2 linked regions of the Drosophila melanogaster genome follow. The gene in region 1 interacts genetically with each later gene. Each region holds a gene or a part of one and is shown on either strand. Other genes may lie near its edges. The genes, in order: Pkn and cpb.

Evidence for each region.
Region 2: of Pkn (region 1) and cpb, changing one suppresses a phenotype caused by changing the other (phenotypic suppression), as found in Drosophila melanogaster (one study listed by BioGRID).

What each region holds. Positions count from the first base shown.
Region 1 is NT_033778.4:9,265,672-9,270,973, reverse strand, and holds the start of Pkn (protein kinase N), read left to right. Parts: upstream 1-2,010; 5' UTR 2,011-2,302; coding exon 2,303-2,605; intron 2,606-2,997; coding exon 2,998-3,319; intron 3,320-4,945; coding exon 4,946-5,302. UniProt on the Drosophila melanogaster protein: Pkc-related serine/threonine-protein kinase and Rho/Rac effector protein that participates in specific signal transduction responses in the cell.
Region 2 is NT_033779.5:1,702,972-1,707,357, forward strand, and holds cpb (capping protein beta), read left to right. Parts: upstream 1-1,930; 5' UTR 1,931-2,140; coding exon 2,141-2,143; intron 2,144-2,159; exon of another isoform or gene 2,160-2,306; coding exon of another isoform or gene 2,307-2,309; intron 2,310-2,428; coding exon 2,429-3,256; 3' UTR 3,257-3,806; downstream 3,807-4,386. UniProt on the Drosophila melanogaster protein: F-actin-capping proteins bind in a Ca(2+)-independent manner to the fast growing ends of actin filaments (barbed end) thereby blocking the exchange of subunits at these ends.

The sequences.
Region 1 (5,302 bases):
TTTATATTAATGTTTTTATAGTTAAACAACATTATTTTAGTCCTATATTCATATATATAATGCACTTAAAATGATGTATACATTTTATAAAAATACAAATTAGTTTGTTAAGCCTCTGGTAATCAGATGTATCAATATATCTTTTAGCACTTATGATGTCCTGGGAAGCCACCATATATTTTTTTCGATGTTTTTACGATCTTGCTTAATACTTTATCTGTCCAAATAAACTGGGTAGGTGGGCGTTTAGCTGGAATTAAGTGTGGATTGACATTTGGCACTAGCAACTTGCCTGTTTGATGCAGCATGCCGCTTCCTATCGAATTTGATGTTAGGCTAATTGGCAATTAGCAGTGTCTACTTAAAATCGCATTACCCCCATAAAAGATACTTGAGTGCGTGCACCACCATCTTCCTTTGGAAGGAGATCGATGTTTCGGCACTGGCCAAGACGGTTGCGTTCGCACCGAATTGAGTTGCGTGGTTTGAGCTTATCGACGGCAAACGAACCTGTTGCTGCTAAACGATTGCCGTTCGCCACGATTCGTTTTTCGATTTTTCTCCCTAACAAAGCCACACACACAAGTACACGCCCACACACACACAAACACTGGTGCACACCTAGCCGCTCGGGTAGCTGGATGTTCTCAGTAACTGTTCGACTATAGACGGGCGTAGTTAATTCCGATTTCCCACCGGAGCTTGATAACGGTGACTCAGAGGTGTCACCTAATTACTGGTTATTAATCTGAACAAGTGCTACAAATATTAACATAACTATCTGTGAAGTGCCAGTCATCCAAATGGCAGATGATTCTGCCCTTATGAACTGCGAAAGAACTAATAAAAAAATTAACTGTGTGGTGTGGGGTAAAGAGTGAATCAAAATGTATTAGTGTAAACAATCGGGCCTGGAATTCAAAGTTTTCTGCCAAAGTTATCAGTAGTTTCTGTGATAAGAAAACGTTACGCACTCCTTTATTAGGTTTCTGCCAATTCAGGGCCATTTTAATGGTGCAAGAACCTCTTGAGAAATAACTAGCAAGTTTGAGGGTCGCATTAGCTAGCCCTACAGTGAAGAAATCCAATACATATACAATGATTCATTGTGAAAAACGGAAATCTGACAATCTCAAAAAATAAAATAATATTACTTCTATCCCTTTGGCGACGTTTCTTAATAAAAATCCCACCAAGCTCACCATTCGTTAGGTGGTACGAATTCAAAAATATTTATAATGAGTTTTCCATAAACAATTGTTTATTGAATAGTGTTTACTCTGTACCTCTCTGCACTTGCCACTTTGTTTGGGCATACATATATGCACATGTTTTGCAGAACGTAGATTTCAACAGGAATTGAAAATAAACATATTCAATCGATAGCACAACTGGGTAACTTTTGTTGCCTATGGCTCATTGTGTAAATATGTTCAGGCGGTTTGCCCTTAAATACCCAATTTGTGAATGCGGGAAAATTCAATTGCTTTAATTTGTTGTTTTTAAGAACATAAAAATGGGTTCATATGTATCTGACAGATAAGAATGAACTTGAACTTCATGAATGAGTTTGTAGGAGAATAGAATTTTTGAATTTCATTTAAGATATTGTCTGAATGGTTGGATAAATTGAGTAATTTTTGTAGCAGAACTTTTCTGCTTTGTTCTTAGGAAATAGTGTTTAGTTGAGCAACTGAAGACGAATAAGAAAGAACGCGAACTCACAAGTTAAAAGAATAAAATATAAAGGCACGTGCATTAAATCAACGCGTTTAATTGAATTCCTTTTGATTTTGGTTGCCAACTGGCTTTCCATTCAAGCAGACTTTCGCCTATCAAACAGTTTAACTTCATTCTGATATCTAAATTCACCGAGAAAGTGTAGCAAAGACGATGACATTCAATTGAAAACGATCGATCGATTAGAATTCCAATTTGCATAGCAGTTACTGTCGGCTTGTTCGCTTGTTTCAAGTGACACCTTTGTCGACTTTTCCCGGCAAAGACTCGAGTGGCTATCAGACAGAAGCAATCGAGAACCGCTTAATGAGAAAGCCAAAGAAACTTGTTGAACTACAAGAAAAAGAAGCACAAGAAGGCAGAAGAACCCGGAGGGGGAGGCAAAAAACATTTTCCAGATAAGCGGCAGTCGGAGTCGTGTGAATAAAAGCGTGTGTATTTGTTTTGTGGGTCAGCCTGTTCCAGCTAATTACCGTGAACTTGTCAGCGCACACAAAACGGCTGTAAAATGACCAAAGTGAGGTAATAAACACGGCGAATTAACGAGAAACCCGAGTGAATAATGTCCAAACTGGTGAAGAGAATCCGCAGCATGATCAATCCAAGCAGCCAGCGGGATCGCGAAGATACCACCTCGGTATCCGCTTCAGAGGGCTTCATTGCTCGCAGGAAGTGCCACTCGCTGCCCCGAAGGAGCAATAGACACTCGACCGCCCGGCGATCAAACAGTGGTCTGTGGAATCGACTGGTCACCAATGTCTTCGGACCGGAAGATTCATATGACTTTGACAACGAAGGCGACAGTGGTGGTGCCGTATTTTACACCGATTCGGTGAACGGTTCAAACTATGAGATATCTGCAGAAGTGAGTTAGTCGAACAAAACTGGATAACATTTTATAAGATTTTAAGACGATGTCGGCTGGAGGTTACAACTTTTTTTTTTTTTACTATAGAACCATTATATTTTCATATTTCGGATACAGTTCTCTAAGTATGTTCATCTCCTTGGGTTTTAAATTCTTTGTGCCAATCATGCACTTCAAATACTGCATAGTATTTCACTATGAACTTTGTTTGATTCAACTGCAGTTTTTGGCTTTTAATTAAATTGACTGCAGTCTATAAAGATGTCACACTTCTCCAAGAGGTGCCGCAGTATACGTTTTTTATTGTTTGTGTTTCAAAAACTTGAATCGAATTTAATTACGAATATGTGTATAACCTTTTTCTTATTCCCATTTTTTCTCACCCACAGGGCGAATACATCAAGCATCCCGTTCTGTACGAGCTCAGTCACAAATATGGTTTCACAGAGAATCTGCCGGAGAGCTGTATGTCCATACGGCTGGAGGAGATCAAGGAGGCCATTCGGCGAGAGATCCGCAAGGAGCTGAAGATCAAAGAGGGCGCCGAGAAGCTCCGCGAGGTGGCTAAAGATCGACGATCCCTCAGCGATGTGGCCGTTCTTGTCAAGAAGAGCAAAAGTAAACTTGCCGAGCTGAAGTCCGAGTTGCAGGAGCTCGAGAGTCAAATCCTCCTGACATCGGCCAACACCGCCGTCAATAGTAATGGACAAGGTGAGCATCCATCAATTCCCATAGAGATTGGGTAACTTTTTCTACCGTCGTCTCGCTTTTCGTTTCGAAAACCCACTAAAAGCCAGACATAAACTGTTGCAATTATACGAGAGCAAAAGTTTCATGCAACAAGTTTTGTGGGCAAGTGTAACGAGTCAAGTGTATTCCCAATAAAAACGAGGGCGTGGCCAAGGGGCGGGGTCACTAACGAAGCTATAACCAAAACAAGCTTCAAGAAAAAGTTTGGACACTGCAATGAAGTTGAAAGATGTTCCTTTTTGTGTAGAAGATAAAGATAAGGTTGTTGGTTAATTCAATTTCAACCTGGTTGTAAAGTGTAATTCAATCAACCAAAATGTTTGGTATATCCTGGGCTAGTTCGGATTTCTAGGTCACGTGGTTTCCGGGCAAGCAATTTAAATAAAGGAATGAGTAAATTCTGTATAAAACTGTTTATTATAAACAAAGATTTTGTAAAGATGTGTATTCAAAACTTTGTATTACTTGTTTCCAATGGACTAAAAGTATGAAGTAGTTTCCTAAAATTAAGTGATATTTAGAGCAGGGACAGTTTAAAATTGCTTTATAATAAAGCTGTAATTTAGTAGCTAAAAGCTATAATTAATAATAGTTTCAATTATGAAACCATTGAAATTTTTTTTGACCAAAATAAAAAGCCGAACAAAAATGAAAGTACTTACTTCCGAAAGAGAGTGACATCAAAACCTCACGAATGCTGCAATTGTTCGGGGCTTTGGGAATGGTTAAGTCCGTCTTTTACGAGTCTTTGTCACGCATTTTCTTTTACCTTTACCACATTTTTTTTTGGCCCATCACCTAATGCTTCATGGTGGTGACAAGTGAACATTGTGCTGGGTGTTAATGATCTGATTATCGCTTTATATATGCCCTCGTATCTTTAACAAAACACTTTGTGATAGTCTCGGCGACGGACGAAATGTTTTCTTCGTTTTCTTCGGTTTTTGTGAGCCAACCTATTGACACAACTGCCGTAAGTGTGATACGTTTGGTTTGTTTACATTTCCGAATGGAGACAGCGTTCTGGCATTCTATATATCTGCTTCCGTGTTTGGCCAATCCCCCAACAGAAGCATTTGCCCCACAAGAACCCCTCCAATGTGGCATTGTGTGGCGCCAGAGTCGACTTTTCATATGTCAGACGATTGACATGTTTGGCAGCTGTCGAAGAATGCTGCACAAATGCCGATTCTCTTTGAATAAATAGCTGGCGCATATAGAACCAAACACACACATTTTTAGTTTGTGCCAAACAAATGGCCTTTCAAAAATAAACAATGGGAGAAAAAGGGCATAAACAAGTTTTGGACATTTTTGCTGAGAAAATTTGGAACACCACTGCTGATTGATTGATTTTTTGGTTACCGTTTATTTATTATTAAAATAATAATACAACAGCTGTTTCTAACTTGACAAGCGAAATTCTTTCTTTACGGTGGGTTTAAAAGTCCTTATCCTAAACTGGTATTGATAGAATACTTATTGTGCTGTACTCTGTGTATCTAAATCTATGAAAGGTTTCTATCATTCAATACTTCTTACGAAATTCAGAATAAAATAGAATCTAATCTTTCCGATATCTTTCAGAATCGATCACTGCCTGCATTGATCCCAATGGCGGCTTCTTGGTCAGCGGTGCAGTTGGTGGCTTGGGCGGCGGAAACACGGCTCTGGAGGGCGGCGCACCGGCCACTGCCAATGACAAAGTGCTCGCCTCGCTGGAGAAGCAGCTGCAGATCGAGATGAAGGTGAAGACCGGGGCGGAAAACATGATCCAGTCGCTGGGCATCGGATGCGACAAGAAGCTGCTGGCGGAAGCCCACCAGATGCTGGCCGACTCGAAGGCCAAGATTGAGTTTTTGCGCCTGCGCATCATCAAGGTGAAACAGAACCGCGAGCAGGCCGATCGCCTCAAGGCCTCGCGCCAGATGATCGACGAGCATG
Region 2 (4,386 bases), on another chromosome or scaffold:
GTTTTCGAATTACCCAAACGAAATTTTAACCACTTGAATTCAAAAAAGACGACAACGGTCCACTTGCGAGGGAATTTCGGAATGAGAAGTACTTTACGTGCATAAGGTTAAACGAAAAACAAAAAAAAAAATAGTTTTAAAAAAACGCAAATCCGTTTGGAGCAAACTCAGGGCATTATCAAGACTCACGACGATGTATACATGCATTTAATACAAACAAAAAAAAAAAATAAATAATGAGAAGAAAAACAGAAACTTTTTCGATATGTATTACGATAAAAAAAAAAAAAATTATGAAAGCAACCGCAAAACGGATGTAATAATCATGCGAAACGATTATGAACAACTCAGGTATTAAATATTAAATGAAATATTTTTAAAAACTTATAACGAATCGAGCGGGCAGTCGGTCAGAAGTCAGAATCAGCATTTTCACAAGTTGTGCAATATTCTTAAAGTTTTCTAAATACGTAATAGTATTAATAATCTAATATGCGATCATGGCAAGGATCAGTGAGTTGAGATGTTCATAAGCATGGGATCCGAAAGGTTGAAGATCGAGGATCGATGATTGAAGATTGAGGATTGAGAGAAGGTTAGGTGAGTTTTTGAAGCACATGAGGACTAGGCGTGTAGTAAACCAGCCCTAAGAATTTTTAGTTTTACCACCCACACAAGTCAAGAAGAACAAGCCACAACAAACACACTCACAGAAACACACACACACACATACTCGACGCGAAATGCGAAAATAGTGAAATAAATAGCTAAATGAAAATGAGTTTATATAAAGAAGGAAAACATAAAACTGTGATTACATTTGATTGTCGAAGAAGCGTTGATAAGCAAGTGTTGCATAATTATTGAGCGAAAGAAAAACGATGAAACGAGAAATACGATTGAAAATGGAGTTATGTACTATTATTGAATCTGAAACCGCTTTTGATTTCGAATATTGGCACAGTGTCTAGCATGCGACAGAGCATAAGTAAATAAATCAATATTAATTAGCCGAAATATTAAACTTCAAAAGAACGACTAAGAAATACAAATTATAATTATCTAAGTTATTCGAGATTAGTGAAACCTGCCCTAATTTTACAAGTCACCTGTAACAGTTTTTATCCTGGCTAAAAATCCAGAGCTGCGAAAAAAAATCCCTCGATTTAGTTCACATTTCTCTGAACGATTTCTGTATGTAGTGCACCTTAGTTAAAAATTAAAGTCTGAGATTTTACATTTATCGTATATGGTCGAAGTATACACCTAAAGAGCGCACTTGAAGCGCGAGTCTAAGCCCAAAGCGGTTAATTAAGTTTATTGAACCTACTACTACTAACGAGGCAAAATCCCACACGCTACGTATTTGGCTAAAATTAATGTAAAAATCAAGAAATCCAAGGATCGATTCAGAAGGATACGTTTTCGGAGCACGCATATGATTTCTAAATAAGTATGTATGTATGTCTGAAGAGTGCGAAAGCGAAGCAGCTTAAATATATTTTAAACACGAACTCGGATAAAAATTTACGATTATGCCATACATTTTTGTGTAACATATTAAAAACTACGAGTAAGCTAAACCCACAGTCACACACAAACCAAACGCATTGTAACAGAAACTCACAAAACACGGAGAGGAAATGGGCAACCAGAATGGAATTAAGCATAAAAGTATATGAACGAAAACTAAATTCAATAAACTTGTTGCTAAAATATAATAAAAGTAAGACCATGGTTTTATTTCGGGCGGATTGAGTGCCAGAGTTTATTTTTATAAAGTGTACTGCAAATTATTGCCTTTTGTAAGTAAGTAACTGCCATTCGTTATGTTAATTTTCAAATATTTCCGCTAGATAGTTAGCGGGTAAGAAATCGATATACCAAATCGAGCGAGCAATCGATGCTCCACCAAAATGAACGATATCGCATAATAATCGGGCTGTGTTCCAGCTCTAGCACACCATAGCAAAAATAAAAAATCCTAATAATAAGGAAAAAGAGTCAATTTAGTGCAATCACTTGCAATATAAGCCCGAAATCCTAGCTAGAGTTTAAGATCGGCCCTGCTCAGCGAACGCAGGCCCCTAACATAAACAGTGTAAAACTATCGAAACAAGGGAAAGCAGAAAGTACCAAAATGGTGAGTAATACTACAATAGTAACAAGAAAAAAAAGCAGGCCAACAAACGGTGTTTTTGGTCGGAACCGCCCATTCTGCAAGCCAAATATTCTTGGCAATCACCTAATCCACCGAGAAAACCTCCAGAGGGGCGGCGGCCTGTGGCCTCAAATAATGCCCATATATGGTAATCCCTGGTTTGCCGGGTGGCAGTGGAAAGCGGAGGGATTTTTTGGGCTCTCTTATCGGCGGTGGTGCAGTGACTCAAATTCAATTTCACTGGTGTCTCTTCTCCTCTCTTCTCAGTCGGAAATGCAGATGGACTGTGCTTTGGATCTGATGCGGAGGCTGCCGCCCCAGCAGATCGAGAAGAACCTTATTGATCTGATAGACTTGGCACCGGATCTCTGCGAGGACTTGCTCTCCTCCGTGGACCAGCCGCTGAAGATCGCCAAGGACAAGGAGCACGGCAAGGACTATCTGCTGTGCGACTATAACCGGGATGGGGACTCCTACAGATCGCCCTGGTCGAACTCCTACTATCCGCCGCTGGAGGATGGCCAAATGCCCTCGGAACGACTGCGCAAACTGGAAATCGAGGCGAACTATGCCTTCGATCAGTACAGGGAGATGTACTACGAGGGAGGCGTCTCCTCCGTCTACCTATGGGATCTGGATCACGGGTTTGCCGCCGTTATACTGATCAAAAAGGCGGGAGATGGCAGCAAGATGATCCGCGGCTGCTGGGACTCCATCCATGTGGTCGAGGTACAGGAGAAGACCACCGGCAGGACGGCCCACTACAAGCTCACCTCCACGGCAATGCTCTGGCTGCAGACCAACAAACAGGGTTCGGGAACCATGAATCTGGGCGGATCCCTCACCCGGCAGCAGGAGCAGGACGCCAACGTCAGCGAGTCGTCGCCGCACATCGCCAACATTGGCAAGATGGTCGAGGAGATGGAGAACAAGATCAGGAACACCCTGAACGAGATCTACTTTGGCAAGACCAAGGACATCGTGAACGGACTAAGGAGCACACAATCACTGGCCGATCAGCGCCAGCAGGCGGCCATGAAGCAGGACCTCGCAGCGGCAATCCTGCGACGCAATGTCAAGCCCGAATCGAACTGAGTACTGAGCGGCTGAAGGCTGAATTTCCACATAAACCAATCCAGTCCAGGGGCGTCCCACAAGCTGGCTGCTCCCAAGAAGAGCGCAGCAATATTCGAATTGCAAGGCACTGTTGTCACCACTAAATATTGTCATAAATATAAATAATTTTCATAATATTTCGGCTGCACCCACCCAATTCGCTGTTACTCGCCCAATTGTGTTGAGCAGCTCCGTGGAGGACTCCGCTTGGACTGGACTAAAGAGCTGACTAAAAAATATTAAATACGCATTTCTAGGCAGTAAATTTGTTACATGAGAAAATTGTTACACCACGAGAAGCACATTAATGTAAATTTTGCCCGCCCGTTTCAACTGTCCTCCCACATTGTTGCCGTTTGGAGTCGCGCTTCATCCAGAGTTCAGCCGAAAATGCCAACTTCGCCGCCCTCAAGACAGTATCCATAAGTATTTGTATCTTATTTGTAATAATGCATATTTGCACCGAAGTCGAGGCACTTGCGTTTCGTTCTTAATCCTTCCGCGAATAAATATTGTGTTTATTAATTGTAACTTTGTGTTTGTGTGTAATCTAACAGTAAGGCGCTCGAAGCAAAATATTAACTGAAATCGCTTTGTGATTGTATTATCTGAGGAAATGCACATTACCTTTCTTCTTTACTTAATATTTTTTAACTGAAATTTGGAAGGCAAGAGAAATTTTATACAAAGAAACTAATAAATATTGAATTACAACTAGAAGTGGTTTCATTGGGGGAAAACATCATATTATCGCAAAAGATAAGATATATAAAATAAACTACTACACATCACTCCATCGATGTATACCATATTCTACTTTTAGTCACGACATATCATATCATAAGCTAGTTAGATAAGGACTAAAGAAAAACATGGCGAGTTTGGTTCATGGCTACCTTTAAGATACGTTTGCATTTATTTATGAAAATCGGAGACCGTTTGATTAAAAATATGTAATTAAATACCTTGAGGTGTGTGACGCAAACGATTGTGTGCTTACTTAGACAATTACTTTTAATCTTTGCATAGTCGCGTTTTATCATAGTTATTACAGAATATACTCGTAGATTTATATAGATCGTTTCGTCTTGTGTTACCAGCTATATACA